3 linked regions of the Arabidopsis thaliana genome follow. The protein of the gene in region 3 binds, or shares a complex with, the protein of the main gene of each other region. Each region holds a gene or a part of one and is shown on either strand. Other genes may lie near its edges.

Region 1 (6,217 bases), on a different chromosome or scaffold from region 3:
TTGATTATCACATGATGTTGTTCTTCTAGTTGATCGAGCGCTTTAACGGGAGGTTGCCTGGATATATTGGCTCTGGGACGGATAGATACTCCTTCAGCCATGTTGATGATGTTGTGGAGGGTCATGTTGCTGCAATGGAAAAAGGTAGGCTTGGTGAAAGATACTTACTCACTGGGGAAAATGCTTCTTTCAAGCTTGTCTTTGACATGGCTGCACTGATTACTGGAACCAAAAAGCCAAACTTTAGCATTCCATTATGGGCCATCAACGCATACGGATGGTTATCTGTTTTAATCTCTCGGGTTACAGGAAAGCTTCCACTTATCAGTCCTCCGGTGAGTTTCAATTGCATTCATTAGTTGCCCACATATTATAGATTATCTTATTAGGTATAGAATAATCTCAACTCTTAGTATTTTGTGATGAACAGACAGTGACAGTGCTGAGACATCAGTGGTCATACTCTTGTGATAAGGCTAAGCTGGAACTTGGTTATAACCCTCGAAGCCTAAAGGAAGGATTGGAGGAGATGCTCCCTTGGTTGAAGAGTCTGGGCGTCATTCACTACTGAAATTCAAATTTCCCATCTTTCAGGTATTTCGAAGAATAATATTCCCTTGAATTCAGTCACTATGATGAGTGATGACTACATTTTTACTTCTCCCGTTACACTTTTAACCCAATCGATTTTTATCTTGTTACAAAACTGCTTCGTTTTGATCGTGTATGTCAAATAAATGTGAAACATTGTGTGCAAATGCTGATGATCATATTTTAAGATGTTGAGCTACGTGTGAGAGTAGGAAAGAGGGAATATGTAAATGTGGGAAATAATCACATTTTATCTGCCAAGAACTATATGATTACATCTATAACATATATGATCAGAAGATAAATACTAAGTATCCATATAATTTGTTCATGATGGTTTTGATCTTTTAGGATATCCACTTTATTGTAGCTGCATGGCCGTTGGTAGTCAATCTTCTTTTCAGTTTATGCTGTTCAGTGTTCACAAAACAAATTAAATAGGTCAATTAGAGGATTATGTAGTTAGAAGCTCTCACAACTACACATGTTTCGGCAATATTAAAAAGAAACTGCAGTAGCTACCTGTTACAGTCCACAGTCTTAGAGAAAGGGACTCCTATATTAACACCACATTTAGCAGGGAGTTGTTTGGCAAAATCATCATTAATTCCAGGGATTGTATTAGCTACACTCTTCAAGCAATTACAAGCTACTTGTCTATCGGCTTTCTCAGGCGCTGCGGCTTTTAGACTATTAAGTCCGTTGCAGCACATTGGAGACGGATTTCCTCCAGCTTTTAGATAAGGCAAACATTGTGCTAAGTACATGTTTACCTGCGGACATGCTATGGCTTCTCCATGATACGCAATCCCCAATAAAATCGTAATCACAAGTAGTAACATTTTTCGGGTTGTAGTAGTAATGTTCCTCATATTTTTCAGTTAACGAGAGTTTTAACAATTTTGTTTTCTTTAGTGTGTTGTTTGCTTGATCTAGTAAGTATTTTATAAGGAGGAGAAATTTGGAGGAAAAAAATGTCATCGACATGAATTTTGAGTGACAAAAGCTTTTTGTAAGTCATGTCATGTGTTTAGAATGGTGTGGAAGTTGAGTTTAGAAAGTTAATAAATGCTTTGTCACCAAACTTTTGATCAAGGGCCATATTAAACGTAAACTAAAACCAATCAAGTCCAATAAAGCCCAAATAAAAAAGCCCAAACGAATTGCTCTGAAGCCTTTTTCTTCACTCTCTTCATAGTATCAAAAATTGCTTCTTCTTCTTCTACTTCTTTCTTCTCTCTGCAAATCCAAAAATGGAGTCATCAGTGAAACCCAATCCTTTCCTCTCCTTCTCTTCTTTCATTCACCACCAGTGTACCCGCTTCAGCTCCGACCTCTCCGCCCGAATCGAAGACACGAAACGATTCGCCGAAACCCTAGCTACTCGACGTTTCTCTCTTCCTACTCCGCCGCCTTTCGCCTCCGTCTCACAATCCAAGTCTGGAACCCCGACGACGACGTTGAGTCCATCTCTTGTCGCTAAAGCTCTCGCTGGGACGTCGGTGTTTACAGTCAGTAACACCAATAACGAATTCGTTCTTATCTCGGATCCTACCGGAGGCAAGTCTATCGGTTTGCTCTGTTTTCGACAAGAGGATGCTGAAGCTTTTCTTGCTCAGGTTTCGCTTTTTGTTGTATTTTTCTCCTCCGAACTTTTTTAAAAAAATGTGAAGTTTCTGAGCTCATAATTCTCTAATATACTCCTTTAGGCGCGACTTCGGAGAAGAGAATTGAAAACCAATGCGAAGGTTGTTCCCATTACTCTGGACCAGGTAGTTCCCTTTCCTTATGATCACTGCATTAGATCAATGTGGAAGAAGCCATTGGTTAAATCAAATGAAACAAACAAATTTCAGGAGCTCAAATTCTAAGTAGACTTGTTCATGTCTGGCCTCATTTTAGTTGTTTATATTATACGGTAATAGGAACACCTGTTGGCAGTTTGAATGAACGGGAGATTGTGTTCTTGTGCACGTAGCAATGTTGACAACATCGTCACAAGAAAGAATGCAACGATGGCATGATTATAATCCCTCTAATGGCTTGGAACTTATAAGTTATAACTACGTTTAGGGAACTTTTTGATGTTATTTGCGTAATCGTGGTAGCTACATTCCCAGAAGTTAAGATGATGTTGTTTACAGGTGTACTTGCTAAAAGTTGAAGGGATTTCCTTTCGCTTCTTGCCAGATCCAATCCAAATAAAGAATGCGTTAGAGGTTGGCTCATGCTAAACAGACTTTTAATTATATGTGTCTATAGCATTTATTTGGCATTTCAATCTTATCCATAAGCTATATTTTCTTGCGTCTCAGCTCAAATCCTCAGGAAATAAGAATGGGTTTGATGGAGTTCCGGTTTTTCAGGTAAATTGATATACTCATTTTCTGTGTTTTTCTATTATACCAATATGGATTCCTTATGTTTTGGTGTTTTTGCTTTGTTTTCTCTTGATATCTATCTGTTGTTATTGGCCTCTACAGTCTGAGCTTCTTGTTGTGAGGAAAAAAAATAGACGTTACTGCCCTGTATATTTCAGTAAGGTTGGTTAGTTTCTTCTCCCACGTTAAAGAATACTAATAGATCTCTCATAAGCCAAAACAGAGGAAGATAACTCTTACTTTCCTGTTCTGCGTGACCACTTTCAGGAAGATATAGAGAGGGAACTTTCTAAATATACGAGAGCATCAAGAGGAGATCAACAAATTATGGTAATGATTCATACCTACCTTCTATGTATTTGAATCTTCGATAGGCCACGTAAGATAGAAACAAACACCTTGATCTAAAGACATGGTTTACTAACAAGTGGGAGTAGCTAGTAGCTGTGTTGGCATCATATGTAATTTCTAGCATTTTTTGTGATTACATGTTCTGCAAACATATAACACCATGTTTTCAAAGGAACAGCGAGGGAAAGGGAAAAGTCTTAGAAAACTTTAGAAAGAGCGGAATTCAGATTGTACATGCCTTCATATATCTGAGTTAAAATGAATTCCAAGGTTTATCGTTATCAAAGTTGCATATCAGAGATCAATATATAAAGTAATTTCACAGCATTGGTTTTGTTAAGAGTTTTCTTATCTTCACCATGGAACTAATCTTTTTGTTTTGCAGGTTGGGAGTCTGGAAGATGTGTTGAGGAAAATGGAGGTACTCACGCTTCTTCTTTGTTTAAAGAAACCTTAAAGTATGAAAACCTGGTAGTCTAATAAAAATCTGAATTGAATCAATGTAGATGAGCGAGAAGAATTCAGGTTGGGAAGATGTAATATTCATTCCACCGGGAAGAAGTTATGCACAACACATGCAGGATTTGATCAAAGAGTAAAACCATAATAGACACAATGTGTGTATTTTTACTTGATAAAAAAAAAACAGCCTCTTTTGAGATTTTGCAATATTATCAATTGCCCAAAGAGCTCAACACAGTCCCAAAATTTAGTTTTCTCCTCTCCTTTTACCACTTAAACACATCATCAACATGTTACTCGTGGTTCTTACATCCAGAAAAATATATTTGGCATATACGGATACCTAAATCAAATAACATAATCTTGTTTGTTTTAAAAAGTGGAGATGTACGTTATTCATCTGTCATTAGAATGTAGTATCAGCCTAATTATTCAAAGGAGGTTGAGGCCTCTAAAATGATATGTTGGTTTAAGCTAATTATTGATCAAATTTGGTTGATATACGATTATTAAAACTAAGATGTCTTACCAATACTTATTTTCATTTTCTTTTCCTCTCATCATAATCGCTTTGACATCTCAGCTTAATGATAATGTGATTATTTTCATCCTTACTAATTGTTACTGCCTTAAAAAAAACAAGTTGAAGTAAGAAAAAGAAAAGGAGATGAGATTGTTTCAAAAGCATTGATCCTTTCCTGAAGCGTAAGTAAGCGATGTTGACAGCAGAACTAAACTTGTTGCTTGCTTGACTTCCTCCGTCGTCGCATATTGCACCTACTAACATTTTTTCTCTTCTTTATTCTTCCAACCAATTGTAGCCTATGGTCTTTTGTACCAATTTTTCAAAAGTTGTAGTTGGTAGAGGTTTTGTGAACAAATCTGTAACATAATTTATTTTCTAACATAGATTGCATCGTTTTCTGATAAAGATCATCAAATTGTGGAAATATGTAGTTTTTTTTTAGTTTTTTTTTTTTGGGCGGAAATATGTAGTTTATTATCCTACTTTTGATGACATTTTCCTTTATTCAATTGAGCTGTAACTACTACTTTATTTTATTTTTGTATTGTGTTAAGTTGTTGTATAGTCTTTATCGGAGATTACATGTTCTCCGAACTTATGTAACAGCAAGCATTCACAATTTGTCTCATTATTTACCAAGATTTGTGAATAGATAAAGTGGTAACAAAAGTCAATGTCCTGGAGCACCATTAATAGTAGAACCTTCAAATGACGGTAGATAACTTTTAATGAAATCCCTTTTGGGTTTTGCATTGGATGAGATAAAGTGATATATGTAGTAAATAAAAAGGATCCCTTACAATATTGTAATTTTGGTCCCATGTTTGGAGGTGAGAGCAAATACGTATCTTAAGGCATACGTATCGCAAACTCATGTCATTATCCAACCACAATCGTTGGCGACATATCTTTGTTTAATAATAATACATCAGGCTTGTGTTTGAGTAAAGAAAATCCTTTGACACGTCCAATGTAAACTCTTTTAGACGTTTTTTTTGTCCTACTCAAAAAAACTCAACCTCTACTTAAAGTACTAATTACCATGTTTTTGTTTTTTTCTCTACCCTTCACGTGGTTCGCATACAAAGAATATTCCTACACATATTTCTCGTGAAACCTTTAAACATTTTGATTTAGGAGTGTATATATATAAGATGAAAGATAAATGTTTGTCATTCAGAAACGAGATGACGATAATGACGATGATAATGAAGATGGCTCCTTCCAAATCTGCACTGATACGCTTTAATCTAGTCTTGTTGGGTTTCTCTTTTCTTCTCTACACTGCCATTTTCTTCCACCCTTCTTCATCAGTCTATTTCAGCAGCGGAGCTTCCTTTGTTGGATGCTCTTTTCGTGATTGCACTCCCAAGGTAAGGTGAGTTTACATTTTTGTTTGCAGAGTAAATCTTATATCAAAACTTAGACTAATAGATATCTTTATACTGCTATGTGATCAGGTGGTGAGAGGAGTGAAGATGCAAGAACTCGTTGAAGAGAACGAAATAAACAAGAAAGATTTGCTAACCGCTAGTAACCAGACAAAGCTGGAGGCGCCAAGCTTCATGGAAGAGATTTTAACAAGAGGGTTAGGAAAAACAAAGATAGGGATGGTGAACATGGAAGAATGTGATCTTACTAATTGGAAACGTTATGGCGAAACGGTTCACATACATTTTGAGCGTGTCTCGAAGCTCTTCAAATGGCAAGACTTGTTCCCCGAGTGGATAGATGAAGAGGAAGAAACCGAGGTTCCCACATGTCCTGAGATACCTATGCCCGATTTCGAAAGCTTAGAGAAGTTGGATTTGGTAGTAGTGAAGTTGCCTTGTAATTACCCTGAAGAAGGGTGGAGAAGAGAGGTTTTGAGGTTGCAAGTGAACCTAGTTGCGGCTAACTTGGCAGC
Region 2 (7,884 bases), on a different chromosome or scaffold from region 3:
ATCTTATGTTTGGATATTTTAGATCTTCGAATTTCTATGATAAAGTGTTAACCTTTTCTCAAATAAAGGTTTTGTGAAAATTTGCTTTTTGATGCTGCTCTATGATGATTCTTTTTGCTTTAACCACACTGAAAAGATGGGGTTGAGAATGTGATTTTGCTCTTCTTGATTCAAACCAGAGAAAGATTAGATTTGATCTCGGAGTTTCTTGATGACACTTTGATCTAAGTTGCTTGAAGGGGATTCTTTTTCTCCTTTGTGGTTTAGATTAAGGTAGAGAGTAATGTCGAGCTCTTATCAACATTTTTCATGGTTTGAGGCTTGAAGAACATTCACGTTTTTCAAGCTCACTCATGTGGACAACCTTGGCCCTTGTCTGAGAAGCAGCTTTTTCTCATATTCAGTTTTTCTAAATTTGTTGTTTTAAAAAAAAAAATTGGTTTGTTTTTTTGGCTGTTCTATGATGATTATATTGCTTTAACCACACTGAAAAGATGGGCTTGAGAATGTGATGTGGTTCTTCTTGATTTAATCCAAAGAAAGAGTTCTTGAGCTATATGTATTGCTTGATGACACTTTGATCTAAAATACTTGAAGGGGATTTGTTTCCCTTTGTGTTTTAGATCAAGGAAGAGATCAGTGTAGAGCTCTTGTTCGATATTTTTCTTAGTTTAAATCTTGAAGAACATTATCATTTTCTCAAGCACTCATATGTGGAATCATTGTGCCCTTTGTCTGAGAAGCAGCTATGAATTCTGTTTTTGTCTTCGATATTGTTAAACGTAGCTGATTTGTAAGATTACTTTGTGATCTTTTTTGGATGCTTGATATGTATCCAACCAAGAGTGGGTTTCTTCTTACAAAGATATTGAGTTAGGAATTTTAATGTCATTTTATGTTCGAATTGGGGAAAATTCACAAAAAATTGGGAAAATAGAAGAGAGCATTATTCGATGTTTACCACATGGTGGAATAATTTGACAGAACAATGTACTTTGGGAATGACATATGGAACAAACTGTGTAAACCAATTTGATGATGAAGGTGAACGAGTTACATATAGGAGACTTACACTTCCATAATAATATTCAGAAACTATATGAAAGTGTATCTTTCTTTATTACTAAAACTCTTTTCTAATAAGAAATGTGTAAACTATGTAACTCGGCAACGGTTCCAGACTCTCTAATCCTAAATCAATGTTAAAGGCGTAAGGCTCTTGAACCTGTTCATTGTGAGCTTTGAACTAAGTATTCAATTTTTTGGACAATCCGAAAAACACAACAGTATAACTACAAATGGATTAGTCCCATTTGGGCGTAGTCTCATTCGTTTGGACGAGAAACACAACGAAAAACCTAGCCAATTTTGTTGTTCTCATGTATGGGCTTAATTGGGGACTAATCCATCTGTGGTTCCCCTTGTTTCCATAGTTCGTAATTTTATTCGTTTTTCGTCTTAAGTTTTCCCTTCTTTAGGTTTAGTTTCCGGAGATATTTTTGTTTTCCGCCGGCTTTGTGTTTCAAATTTGTATTCCACCCTTTGTATTTCACAACCTATAATACAATGGAAAAATTCTGGATGAAAAAAAGAAAAAGAACACAGTATATAGAAAAATCTGAATCACAGTACTAACATCATTGATTTTCTGCTACAAAAATGAGTGTACACTGATTCTTAAAATAGATACGGGCTATAACATAACAAAAAGAAAAAGTGGGGGATGGCTTTTGCAATAATCTCGAAAGAGTTTCTCACTCACATCACACCCTTGGTTTATAAATAAAACTCATTGATCTTGACGGTGAAAATATCGCCACCTGTTAATTTGTAAAAAGGTTTCAGTACACTTAGCTACACTGGATCCAAGTCTAGTGCTAAACTCAAACCTCGTGGTTTTAGACCAAAATCTCTTCTTCTTCGTTTCCTTCTTCCTCATCATATCTTTCATCTTCTCCACCAGAATTTGTTTTAGGCTCTCCTTCTTCTGTTTCTTTTTCTCCCAAAGAAACAATTAGATATGGAGAACCTTACCCTAGTTTCTTGCTCAGCTTCTTCTCCAAAGCTGTTAATTGGATGCAATTTCACTTCCTCGCTGAAAAACCCTACTGGGTTTTCTCGTCGGACTCCTAATATTGTCCTCCGGTGTTCCAAAATATCTGCCTCTGCTCAATCTCAATCTCCCTCTTCGCGTCCGGAGAACACTGGAGAAATCGGTTAGTTTGCAAATTCCACTCGACACTCTATTATAGCAAATGCCAAAATTTTCCGGAAAAATTTCCAGTTTATTACTTTTATCTATCTTATTGAAACTCAAATTGCGAACCCTTTTCGACTGGTTTAATATGAGCTTATGAATTGCTATATCTCTTAAAAAAATCCACACTTTGTGAATTTGCAATTTGAATTCTTGTAGAAACCATTCATTGTTAGAATTGTTTACTTTAAGTTTATGTTCGATTTGCAGTGGTTGTGAAACAGAGAAGCAAAGCTTTTGCAAGTATATTTTCTTCGAGTCGTGATCAACAGACAACTTCTGTTGCTTCCCCTAGTGTGCCTGTGCCACCACCATCTTCATCAACCATGTAATTTTCCTGGTTTTGGACAATGTGCTTAGTTTGTATGTCGTTTGATTCTTGGTTATTAAATTGTGTTTTTTCTTTTTTCTTGTAGAGGATCACCACTTTTCTGGATTGGTGTTGGTGTTGGTCTATCAGCTTTGTTCTCATATGTGAGTATCAAGATTCCTTCCTAATTTTTTTTTCCTCTATAAATATTCTTTCTTGCTTCAATATTGATTAATAAGTGCTTGACCTTTTTTCTTTTCTGATGGCATTGCAGGTAACTTCAAATTTAAAGGTACAGATACTTGGCCCTCTGGTTTTACGGGACTTTTGTTCTCTAGTCTGTTGCAGAACCACGATTTTATGCTTCATGTCAACTCTAGTGTATTGTGCTCATGTATCTGAGATAGTTTTATTCACTAAACTGGTTATCTTAACAAGGTGAACTGTTTGCTCACACTTGTTGAACCGTTTATATAAGCATCGAACTTTTGCCTCTCTTTTTTTGGGTAGTCACTTGATTCGTAGATGGTAACCTACATACCATTATGGTTTTAGTGATGCAACTCAGGTATTCAGACTTATAGTCATTTTCGCAACTCCAGTATTTGATTGAAATATATTATACAAGTTGTCATTGCTTTCTCTCATTATTCTCTAACCGGCTGTTACTCTCTTTGGATTTTTTTTTTTGCTTTGGTTTAGAAATATGCAATGCAAACAGCTATGAAGACGATGATGAACCAAATGAATACGCAAAATAGCCAGTTTAATAATTCTGGATTCCCATCAGGATCACCTTTTCCGTTTCCATTTCCTCCTCAAACAAGTCCTGCTTCCTCGCCATTCCAATCTCAATCCCAGTCTTCAGGTGCTACCGTTGATGTGACAGCGACAAAAGTAGAGACACCTCCTTCAACTAAACCGAAACCTACACCTGCAAAGGATATAGAGGTGGATAAGCCAAGTGTTGTCTTAGAGGCAAGCAAAGAGAAGAAAGAAGAAAAGAACTATGGTAGATTCTTTTTCTGTTTCAGAAATCAACGTCTTTTCATTTGTATTCTCAATTTTGACTTTCTTCCTTTCTCATTTTCCAAGCTTCTAACTTGGAAGCTGATTTACTTTTGGATGCAGCCTTTGAAGACATTTCACCCGAGGAAACCACAAAAGAAAGCCCATTTAGCAACTATGCAGAAGTCTCTGAAACTAATTCCCCCAAAGAAACTCGCTTGTTTGAGGATGTAAGTTTCGTTTTCTTTTGTATTTCCACAGCACACCAAGTGGTGATTTAAAAACGTGACATAGTTTTGCTAACCTTCTATGCTCTCTTATTGATCTCTGGGTGAAGGTCTTGCAAAATGGAGCTGGTCCGGCAAATGGTGCCACTGCTTCAGAGGTTTTTCAATCTTTGGGTGAGTTATTGAATTTCAGTTTTCATCACTATCAGCGCACTGTGCATGATTCATGATTAAGGCTACGGATTTCAATTTTATTTTATAGCATATGCCAACAATTATAAACAAAGGAAGATATGAAATTGGTGATAAAGAGGAATGAGTTGGCTTCAAAAGGATCTACTCCGTTACTTTTGTCCTTCTGCTAGTCGTTGATCTGTATTGGTATAACCATATAAGACTTGCAGGATATTACCTTGGCAATCTGTTTCATATCTCATGTGTTATGATTCTTTTTTCTTATATGCTCACGTTATTGTCTCTCTTTTCCTTATTCTAAATTTAAAACTGAATCCTGAGTCTGTCTATTGTTTACACAGGTGGTGGGAAAGGAGGGCCGGGTTTATCTGTAGAAGCTTTAGAGAAAATGATGGAAGATCCAACAGTCCAGAAGATGGTTTACCCGTAACTCATCTTCCCTAGCACATTGTCTTTAAATGCATCCATTAAGTTTATCTTTAAAACTGGTTGCTTAGTGGACATTTGGTAACATTGCATGTATAAATGCAGATACTTGCCTGAGGAGATGAGGAACCCAGAAACTTTCAAATGTAAGTCTTTTAATATTTAATCCTGCTATCATTCTTTTATTAGTCCTCATTTTTACATATTTCTAAAGACTAAAGGTTACATGACTAGCTTTTGAATGATGTAATTCGTTTATAGGTTGATCCAATGGTTATCTAAATTTAAAATACAGTTTGGTACTTATTGTCTCCGCTTGGAATTTTGTAGGGATGCTTAAAAATCCTCAGTACCGTCAACAACTACAGGACATGTTGTAAGAGCTCCATTTTACGAACAATTTAGTTGTTTCCATTGCTTTTAAGAATGTCTAAACTATGTAATTAAGAAATACTCTTGTTTGTTTCTTTTCATGAATTTAGGAATAATATGAGTGGGAGTGGTGAATGGGACAAGCGAATGACAGATACATTGAAGAATTTTGACCTGAATAGTCCTGAAGTGAAGCAACAATTCAGTAAGACAAATCTCAGTTTGTACCAAGTTAATAGTACGTTAAATAGGTCTGATACTCAATGATTGAATCTGTATTTGTCAGATCAAATAGGACTAACTCCAGAAGAAGTCATATCTAAGATCATGGAGAACCCTGATGTTGCCATGGCATTCCAGAATCCTAGAGTCCAAGCAGCGTTAATGGAAGTACGTTTTCTTTTAACCTGAATAAGAGAATTGCTTAATTTTACCCCACTTCTTTCTTCATACAAAACAGAAACCAATTACATTCTTGTTGTTGTTGCAGTGCTCAGAGAACCCAATGAACATCATGAAGTACCAAAACGACAAAGAGGTAATAATACTGCCACTTCTCCATTGCCCAAAAAGGCGATTACTTTTTTAAGAAATTTGAGGTTATTATACATTGATTGCAGGTAATGGATGTGTTCAACAAGATATCGCAGCTCTTCCCAGGAATGACGGGTTGAAAAAGCTCACGTCTTTGGTTCTATCAAAAATGTCACATTGTCTTTAGCTTTTTGTAGGGAGAAAAAAATGTTTTTTTTTTTGCAAAGAGTCTTCAGTTTTGGTCAGATCAGAGAATTGTGTACCATGTTAATCTTAAACGCGGTCGGGAATTGGAGTCGTGTGAAAACGCCGCTGCTGTTGTTTGGTATGAATATTATACAATAGAATTTGTTGTCTTACCAAAAAAAGTCTATGAAGACACTGAAGAGCAAATTATTATTTTTAAGGGAAAATTTCCAAAATAAACTTCATGTATTCAAAATTTGCTTGAAAAAACCTCAATTTTTTTTGTTTGAGATTGTGTGAATAAATCTGCCAATATTTTGTTTTAGCAATTTAAAAAATTGAAGTTTTTTTCTCGCAAATTTTAAATAGTTGTGATTTATTTTGGAATTTTACCTTATTTTTAATATCCAAAAGGAGAAGTGACGTGGCGATATCGAAGCGGTTTAATGAAGTGATGGCCCCATCTTAAAGAAATCAATGACCCTTATCGTTCCACTTCTATCGGAGTCGGAGTTTTTTTTTGTTGTTGTTGTATTCCGTACGTCGGTCGTTGTCGGGAGAATTGGCGCGTGAAATCCTTGGCTCCGTCGAATACGTCTGCCTCCGACGGCTGTGAGTCGCATGATTGAGTCGTGGGTAAGTATCCTTGTGACTTCAAATTTGTATTTCCGTTCTTTATAATCCCCTGACTCTTGAGAAAATCGAGGAGAAAAAACCATCCTTGCTTGGTATTCATTTGAAGAGTGTTTTAGTTATAAAATCGTAATGTTTGACGGTATGTGATATTCTGTGAGCATGATTATTCAGAAAGCTTTTGTCTTTTTAGTAAATATTGTCTCTTTCTTAGTCTTAGGTAATGTAACCTCAAGAACTCTATGCGAGAACATTACACATTATCTTTGGAATTGGATATTATATTGTTAAAGTTTAATCATTGATGAAAGTTGCAAAGAGTTATGATGACTCCGTTTTGGGATTGTCTTACCGTTGTCTTTCTGGTTTTAATGCTTAGGTTTCTCTTGATGAAGTCTAGAAGTGAAAGTAAGAATTGTAGGCTTGCACAAGCCTCTAGAGTAGCAGTCAACAAAGTTCTAGACAAAAGCAGCGCCCGTGGCTCTCGAGGCAAGAAGAAGCAAGATGATAACTGTGATTCCGCTAAGGTTTGTTCTTCTATTCATGCAAACAACATTATTGTTATAATGATTTCACTATGTTTACCAGGGTACTTAAGATGTTAGAAGCAACGAATTCTATTGATTGTTTTCAAGGTTTCCTTGAAGATTGTGAAGTCCGTGGTACTACTAACCAATTATCAATGGCTGTTAAAAATAGTTTCCTTGTCCTATGCCTAAAGATTTTCTTGGGACAGTGGAGATTTTTGTCTTATCTAGTCCTATGTTGTCCGGGAGTGTAAAATTATTTAATACTCTTCTATCATTGCAGCGGGATAAAGGCGTAAACGGTAAGGGAAAGCAAGCGCTCGACGCAAGATTGATTGATAACGTTCTAGAGGACAGGGGATGTGGTAATGTTGATGATGATGAAATGAATGATTCAGACTGGGAAGACTGTCCAATCCCTAGTCTTGATAGTACGGTTGATGATAATAATGTTGATGACACCAGAGAGCTAACCATAGAATTTGATGATGATGTTCCTGATGCTAAGAAGCAGAAGAATGCATACCGTGCAACAGCAGAAGACAAGGTATACTGTGCTTAGGAAACACAATATGCTTACTTTTGTTTATTCTTTAAAATGTGGTTGCTTTAGAGATTTGTGCTTTGTCTCAAAGGTACGGGCGGAACTTGTCCATAAGGTGCACTTGCTCTGTCTGCTTGCAAGAGGGAGGATAGTTGACAGTGCTTGTAATGATCCCTTGATTCAGGTGAATAAATTGAATACAACAGTGTTAGCAGTTGCTTCAAAGTTAAATTTTTCATATTGCAACCTGCGATATAAAGTTTAGTTTTTACATTTAACGTGCAGGCTGCCTTGCTTTCACTTCTACCATCATACTTGACAAAAGTATCAAATCTCGAGAAAGTTACTGTCAAGGATATAGCCCCTCTTCTTCGTTGGGTATGGATTTACTGGCATGTAGCTTTTGTTTTGTTCTAATGGAAAGGTTAAACAAATGTTCCCTGGTTTAAATTGTAGGTTCGTGAAAACTTTTCTGTTAGTTGTTCTCCCAGTTCTGAGAAATCTTTTCGTACATCCCTAGCATTTGCTCTTGAATCTCGTAAAGGCACAGCGGAAGAGGTAAGCTTGGGATCAGATTTATGCCATTGAACCTTTTCATTATATGGTTACTTGTATTGTTGAAACCTCTGTTTACGAAACTTATGGAAACATTTTTGCAGCTTGCA
Region 3 (6,227 bases):
CATAACACATGTAATGTGTGAAGCAGTAACATAACAAAATTAACAACACACATCATTCATCTACAATAAGAACAAACCTTAACACACGAGAAGTACACCAATTGGCAGACTAAAAGAAGAGGAGAATTGAGTTCTTTGTCTCAGTTTTTTTTTTTTTGTTTTTGTGTCTCAGCCGGAATGGGTCTGAAGTAGAAGTACGGACAAGACAAAGAAACCTTGTCTGTCTCTATACAAACATTATACACAAATTCCAAAAAAAAAAAGAAGAAGCCTTTTCTTGTTATCTTTTTTGGTATATGCACATATAGATTTCCTCTCAGATATATGTGATTCTCACTCAGGTCTTCTACTCAAATAGGCTTTTTCTTCTTCTCAAGGTACGAAGATTATATATATAAATTCACATCACATGCTTCTATATAATAATAGTCATATAGATTAAGAATTGCTAAAAGGTGATCCAGAGGACCTGCGTATGCGTACCCTTTTCTGAGGTGATCTATTCAAAAGGATCGACGAATTTCACGCCCTTGTCTTGTGATTCTGCTACCTGTTAGAGGAAGAGAGCTCTGGCTCGAGAGTTGCAGCTCTGAGAATGGAATTGACCCACCGCTCTGGGAGAAAATCAAACCTGCCGAGATGTTTGATGTGCTTCTTGATGTAGGCACACCGGTCATGTAAGCATCTTTTGCACCGCCTGCTATGAGCTCTGTCGATGAAGAAGAAGGGGCAGCTGCCAGAGCACCCAAGAGAGAGCTCACTGGGTAAGGAGCCACCGGTGCATCAGCTAGAGAGGACGCAGAAGGATTGTATCTGATCGTTCCCATTGGATGATCAAACTTACATGTTGATCCAAACTTACAGAAGCCGTTTTGTACGTAGAAAGTGCACCGTTGCACACCCTGTTTTCAACCCAAGATAAACAACGGATTTAGAGACAGAAATGTTATAACTATGATCAACAACCTTTATGACATATTAACACAGAGCATACCGGGCGTAGAGGAAGACCAATGGGGCTGAGGACGCAATTCGCTCTTGGTGGAACCCGATCTCGAGGATGATGAAACTTACAAGATGTTCCAAACTTACAATCTCCTGTTTTCAAATAGTATTGGCACTCTGGTTCACCAGGTCTCTCTGGAAAGGCCTGTTCTTTCTGTATAACACCTGTAGGAGAGGACAGAGATGGATAAACCCCGGGAAGCGAAGGAGTGGTGGAAGTGAGCTGTGTAACTCCATATAAAGAAGTTGCCCCAACAGCGTGCTGCGCACCAGGAGATAGAGCAGGGCTCACAGGTGCCTGAAGCAAAAGCAAAAGTGAGACAGTAAGAGACTGTGGTGAATAACAAATGTATTGATGATACATCAATAAAAAAAAAGGTCACCGAGTAAGGACTCCAGCCTGGAATAGGAACGACCCCGGGGGTTAATAGCATTGGACCATAGGCGCCTTGCATATAAGAACCAGGAAGAAGAGTTCTTGCAACTCTCAAGCTAGAAGATGGACCTCCATACTGGTCAGGCATAAGTGACTGCACCGATGGATAAAACTGAGGTGCAGATGCTGGTGGTGGTGGGACAGTAGTACCAGCAGGCTGAGGATGATGAAATTTACAGGTTATACCAAATTTGCATTGCCCCGTTTTCAAATAGTAGGAGCATTCGTTATCACCCTACAAAGAGTTTATAAAAGATCATGCAAACTCGAGACTAGCCTTTTATTTGACATGAGTGGAAACAAAGCTTACCTCTCGTACAGGGTATCCATATATATTTAGTGGAACGTGGCTCATGGATCCACCTGCATTCTTTGGATGGTGGAATTTGCATGACGCCCCAAATTTACAAGTTCCAGTTTTCAAGTAAAACTGCCAGGAAAGCAGAGATCAATAATATCACAAAAAACCTTGTTTCATCACTTGGAACATATAAAATGACTGGTCGGGGTGGGTTACCTGGCATGGGGGTTCACCAAAACGTTCAGGATACTGCCCGGTAGCTCTAACAGTTGCTTCAACCTATACATGAATCAACATGAGAAAATAGTAAACTGTGGCCAAGCTAAGATGACAAAATGATAAGCTTTTACAAGAGCATACAAAGGTATCAGTAAATACAGGGAAACACCGGGTAGAGTCAATGCATAAGACAAAAAAAAACGTGACGTAAAGCACAACAACTGAAACCAGTAAAGCTTAACAATTTCCCCAGTTTAGAGAGACTCTATAAGGCCAGTGATCACCCACATTGCGGAAAAAACAGAGAGAAGCATTTGATTGTGTCCTCCTAGTATGGATGGTTTCAGAACAATAATAAGAAAGAAGAATGAATGAGAGGAAGAAATTACCGAGGCACGATCGCGAGGGTGATTGTAACGACATCTATTACCGTAGCCACAGACACCAGTTCGCATGTAGTAGGCACAGTCAGGAGCACCTGGTCTCTCAGGGTACGAGTCGCTACCCAACCCTAATCGCCACATCGATTCTGCAAATCACAAAATTGAGCACAGTCAGGGCCATTTAGCGGAAACCCTAAAGAGACCGTACAGTTGCTGAGAATCAAAGCGCATGCGAGACCTTGGAGTCCGGTATCGGCATCTGCAGGGGTCCAGTCGGGAGCTTGAGCAGATTGTGAGCCATTGAGGGGAGGATTGCGAGCATACATGTCCTTAAATTTAGGGATTTGGTGTACAGTAAAAAAGATACTAGTAAAAACTCCTCTCACCAAACTAGAAGAAACTAATAAGAGAGTAAATGTCAAAAGCTCATCGGTGGATCGACAGAGATTTACCGGAGAAGCCGATTAGAAAAGCTCTGAGAGAGAAGAAAAAAAGAAGAAGAAGAAGAAGAGATGCTTCGACAGTGATTGAGAGGAGCTTCTTCTTTGGTCGGTCTCTCTCTCTCTCTCTCTCTTCTTTCGCTCTTCAGGAATACCGTACGGTCTGCCCTCTGCACTACTGTTTCTTTTTTTAGCTTTCAATTTCTTTTTCTCATATTCTTTTTTAAATAATAATAGTATATAGTAGTAGTTTGTATTAATTTGTTTTGTGAGATTTATTTTTGGTTCTCTCTTGGTCCTTGGGTCGCCAAGTAAAAGCATCCCAGAAAAGGGAAGATATTTCCAAGAAATATACTACTTGACAAAACAACAAACAAAAAATAAATAAACTAATTTTTACTAGTTTCCAACCAAAATGACGGTAAGGTCCTTGGGCGGGGATAGCGCGCGAGTGGCCAACATGTGACACACAGACAGTTTTCTCACTTCACTTGCTAACTCGGGGAGTAAAGTGGTCTGGTCCGAAAGTGGGGACACATCCGTCATTTCTACCTGCTACTGTTTCTTAACTGCTCTCTCAACTCGCTCTGACCGAGTCTGACTCGACTCGACTCGCCTTCAATCAATGCCATCACATTTCTTCGTTTCCGCTTCCCATTTGTCGGCGCCACAAAAACCTTCTGTTGTTCACGAAGCCCTCTAGTACCATATATAGGCCCATTTATATAGCTAAGTCGGCCCAATTATGTTGTTAGTGTGCGCGGGCCAAATTTTAGATTCGAAAACGGCAGCGTTTGAGCTGTTACTTTTTTTTGCTCTTCTTGTCAACAAATCGACACTGCCGACTAAACAGCGAAAATCCCAAACAAAAAAATAAAAGAATGGCGTCTCTGTGCCTTTCTCTCCACCAAACCCTAACTAATCCCCTGTCGGCTCCCAGATGCAGACCACTCAGCCTCTCCTTCCCCGGATCCTCAACCTTCTCGATCCGCCCCTCTAGCAGACGCGCAACCGCCTTGACGACCCGCGCCTCCTACACCCCGACGCCGGCGACTGAGCGCGTGATTTCGATAGCGTCGTACGCGCTGCCGTTCTTCAATTCTCTGCAGTACGGGCGGTTCCTGTTCGCGCAGTACCCAAGGCTGGGATTGCTGTTCGAGCCAATCTTCCCAATCCTGAACCTGTACAGATCGGTGCCGTACGCGAGCTTCGTGGCATTCTTCGGGCTGTACCTGGGAGTGGTGAGGAACACGAGTTTCAGTAGGTACGTGAGGTTCAACGCGATGCAGGCGGTGACGCTGGATGTGCTCCTGGCGGTTCCGGTGCTGCTGACCCGAATACTGGATCCGGGTCAAGGAGGCGGGTTTGGAATGAAGGCGATGATGTGGGGGCACACGGGGGTTTTCGTCTTCAGCTTTATGTGTTTTGTGTATGGAGTCGTCAGCTCCTTACTCGGCAAAACTCCATACATTCCATTTGTCGCTGATGCCGCCGGTAGACAACTCTAATTCCGGCCAATATCTACCTCACTCAGTGTTCGGGTTTTCGATTCTAGAATCGGTTATTTCTGGTTTATAAGAGAGACCAAATCAATCAGTGTTGTTAATTAACCATTACCGTTTTAAAAAAAATATTTTTTGTTATACTCCCAACATTTGATTTGGCCCAATATGAAAGAACAGTATGGGGGGCCTTTAATGAAGCTATCATTGACTGAGTATAATTTTACAATCGTCGGTGAAAAGGTAACTAAGTAAACGGTAAAAAAATGAGCGCCGTCTATCTTACCGCGCAATGAATGAGAAGTCAATTTGGGAAACTGATCGGAGAAAAGAGGGAGAGAGGGTTTCTCAGCTGAAATCAAAATGGGTATTATCAGATTTCAAATCCTGAATCCGACGAGGATTTGTAGGTCTACTATATATTATATGTCTTGCCGTTATCTGCCATCATCATCATCATCATCATCACCACTCCGAGTATCTTCTTCTTCATCGCAAAAACCTAGTTTCGATTTCTCCAGAAGGTGGCATTTTGGTCACCCTGATCATCACCAGCAATATCAAAAGCCTGGAGAAGAAGGGGAGAAGATATTCCGGCTAGGTCTCACCGCAGATATAGGTTTATCTGTCGCAAAAGCTCTCACCGGTTATCTCTGCGGCAGCACCGCCATTATCGCCGATGCTGCTCATTCCGTTTCCGATGTGGTAATGAAAATTCTCATTTGCTGAGGACGAGAGATGATCCTTCCTTTGGTTTTGTTTCTCACATGATCATCATCATTATATCTCAGGTTCTAAGTGGTGTTGCTCTAGTGTCTTACAGAGCTGCAAATGTTCCCAAGGACAAAGAACATCCTTATGGTTACCTTTTCTCTTCTCTTTCCTTTGATGTAAATACATTATAATAACAATGAACTGAATTTCCCCATGCATACAAGGGCAGGTCATGGTAAATTTGAAACGCTTGGAGCACTTGGCATCTCTGCCATGCTTTTGGCTACTGGCTCTGGTATTGCCTGGCATGCTTTAGACCTTTTATCTGTATGACCACCACTCTCTCCTTTCTCTTTCTTTTTTAATTACTCATCTCCACCTCCACAACCTTGCTTCATTGTATGAGAATATATTGCACTTCATGTTTATCTTTTATCGATCCTCCATTGTTTGTTTTATTTGGGATATAATAAATTCAATTTACAGAGTTCTTCTCCCTTCCTTTCTCATTTGCAGATTGCACTGTCCGCAGCTCCTGAGGTAATTCATAGTGGACATCATCACGGCATTGATATGAATCATCCCATTCTCGCTTTGACTGTTACTATTGCTTCCATTTCTATCAAAGAAGGGTACAAACATCACTTTATTTATCACTCTTTTCAATCCAATCAAGTTTATCATACCCCATTGCTTTACGTCTACAGCTTTTGCTCTACCGTCGCTTCTTACTAGACAATTGCAAATTTTCACTTTAGTTAGACTTGCTTCTCAGAACCTACCGCCCCTTTTCTTTTGATCCTTCATCCCTATTCTCTTCACTTATTTTGATCCTTCATCCCTGAATCTTATGTTTCTCAGGCTTTATTGGATCACAAAACGAGCAGGTGAAAAACAAGGGAGTGGTTTGATGATGGCAAATGCTTGGCATCATCGATCAGATGCTATTTCTTCTCTAGTTGCACTTGTTGGAGTTGGTAAGCTTTTCTTTCCAATCAGTACATATGTAAATCAACTATATCCTTTGTTTCAATATCCCAGACCTGGTCACGCATATGGCTACTACTAAAGAACTGGAGACAATGTAGATCTCTGAATTCCATTTATTTACTTTTACCAAGTCTCTCTCATCGGTCCAGCTATTGTACGGAACTACTGATAAAGGGAGACATGAAGTTCTCATAAATCGTGAAATATGACTTGTGTGCAGGAGGTTCTATTCTCGGA

Evidence for each region. Proteins that work in one complex are often made in the same cells at the same time.
Region 1: Tic20-II (region 3) and Tic22-IV share a complex: the UniProt entries of both Arabidopsis thaliana proteins name them as parts of the tic complex.
Region 2: Tic20-II (region 3) and TIC40 share a complex: the UniProt entries of both Arabidopsis thaliana proteins name them as parts of the tic complex.

Annotation. Positions count from the first base shown.
Region 1 is NC_003075.7:16,062,343-16,068,559, reverse strand, and holds Tic22-IV (Tic22-like family protein), read left to right. Parts: upstream 1-1,662; 5' UTR 1,663-1,844; coding exon 1,845-2,210; intron 2,211-2,300; coding exon 2,301-2,363; intron 2,364-2,735; coding exon 2,736-2,810; intron 2,811-2,906; coding exon 2,907-2,957; intron 2,958-3,074; coding exon 3,075-3,134; intron 3,135-3,239; coding exon 3,240-3,302; intron 3,303-3,708; coding exon 3,709-3,744; intron 3,745-3,829; coding exon 3,830-3,922; 3' UTR 3,923-4,123; downstream 4,124-6,217. Other genes in the region: FLDH (NAD(P)-binding Rossmann-fold superfamily protein), read left to right, coding at 30-335, 431-571; AT4G33355 (Bifunctional inhibitor/lipid-transfer protein/seed storage 2S albumin superfamily protein), read right to left, coding at 992-1,001, 1,114-1,463; PGSIP3 (plant glycogenin-like starch initiation protein 3), read left to right, coding at 5,499-5,684, 5,772-6,217. UniProt on the Arabidopsis thaliana protein: Involved in protein precursor import into chloroplasts. Imported into the intermembrane space via the Toc translocon. May be involved in the import pathway used by proteins without a cleavable N-terminal pre-sequence.
Region 2 is NC_003076.8:5,448,788-5,456,671, forward strand, and holds TIC40 (hydroxyproline-rich glycoprotein family protein), read left to right. Parts: upstream 1-1,832; 5' UTR 1,833-2,020; coding exon 2,021-2,216; intron 2,217-2,467; coding exon 2,468-2,585; intron 2,586-2,673; coding exon 2,674-2,731; intron 2,732-2,841; coding exon 2,842-2,859; intron 2,860-3,269; coding exon 3,270-3,579; intron 3,580-3,698; coding exon 3,699-3,805; intron 3,806-3,912; coding exon 3,913-3,976; intron 3,977-4,338; coding exon 4,339-4,423; intron 4,424-4,528; coding exon 4,529-4,569; intron 4,570-4,753; coding exon 4,754-4,799; intron 4,800-4,905; coding exon 4,906-5,000; intron 5,001-5,081; coding exon 5,082-5,185; intron 5,186-5,285; coding exon 5,286-5,333; intron 5,334-5,415; coding exon 5,416-5,469; 3' UTR 5,470-5,790; downstream 5,791-7,884. Other genes in the region: DNA repair protein Rad4 family, read left to right, coding at 6,538-6,675, 6,959-7,222, 7,311-7,403, 7,505-7,597, 7,676-7,777, 7,879-7,884. UniProt on the Arabidopsis thaliana protein: Involved in protein precursor import into chloroplasts. Part of the motor complex consisting of a co-chaperone (TIC40) and a chaperone (HSP93) associated with the import channel (TIC110).
Region 3 is NC_003071.7:19,592,396-19,598,622, reverse strand, and holds Tic20-II (putative conserved protein ycf60), read left to right. Parts: upstream 1-3,621; 5' UTR 3,622-3,665; coding exon 3,666-4,292; 3' UTR 4,293-4,436; downstream 4,437-6,227. Other genes in the region: AT2G47850 (Zinc finger C-x8-C-x5-C-x3-H type family protein), read right to left, coding at 504-902, 995-1,303, 1,389-1,676, 1,752-1,871, 1,959-2,021, 2,351-2,490, 2,583-2,670; AT2G47844 (uncharacterized protein), read right to left, coding at 3,184-3,330; AT2G47830 (Cation efflux family protein), read left to right, coding at 4,650-4,991, 5,078-5,147, 5,230-5,327, 5,517-5,632, 5,862-5,977, 6,211-6,227. UniProt on the Arabidopsis thaliana protein: May be involved in protein precursor import into chloroplasts. Not redundant with TIC20-I, TIC20-IV or TIC20-V.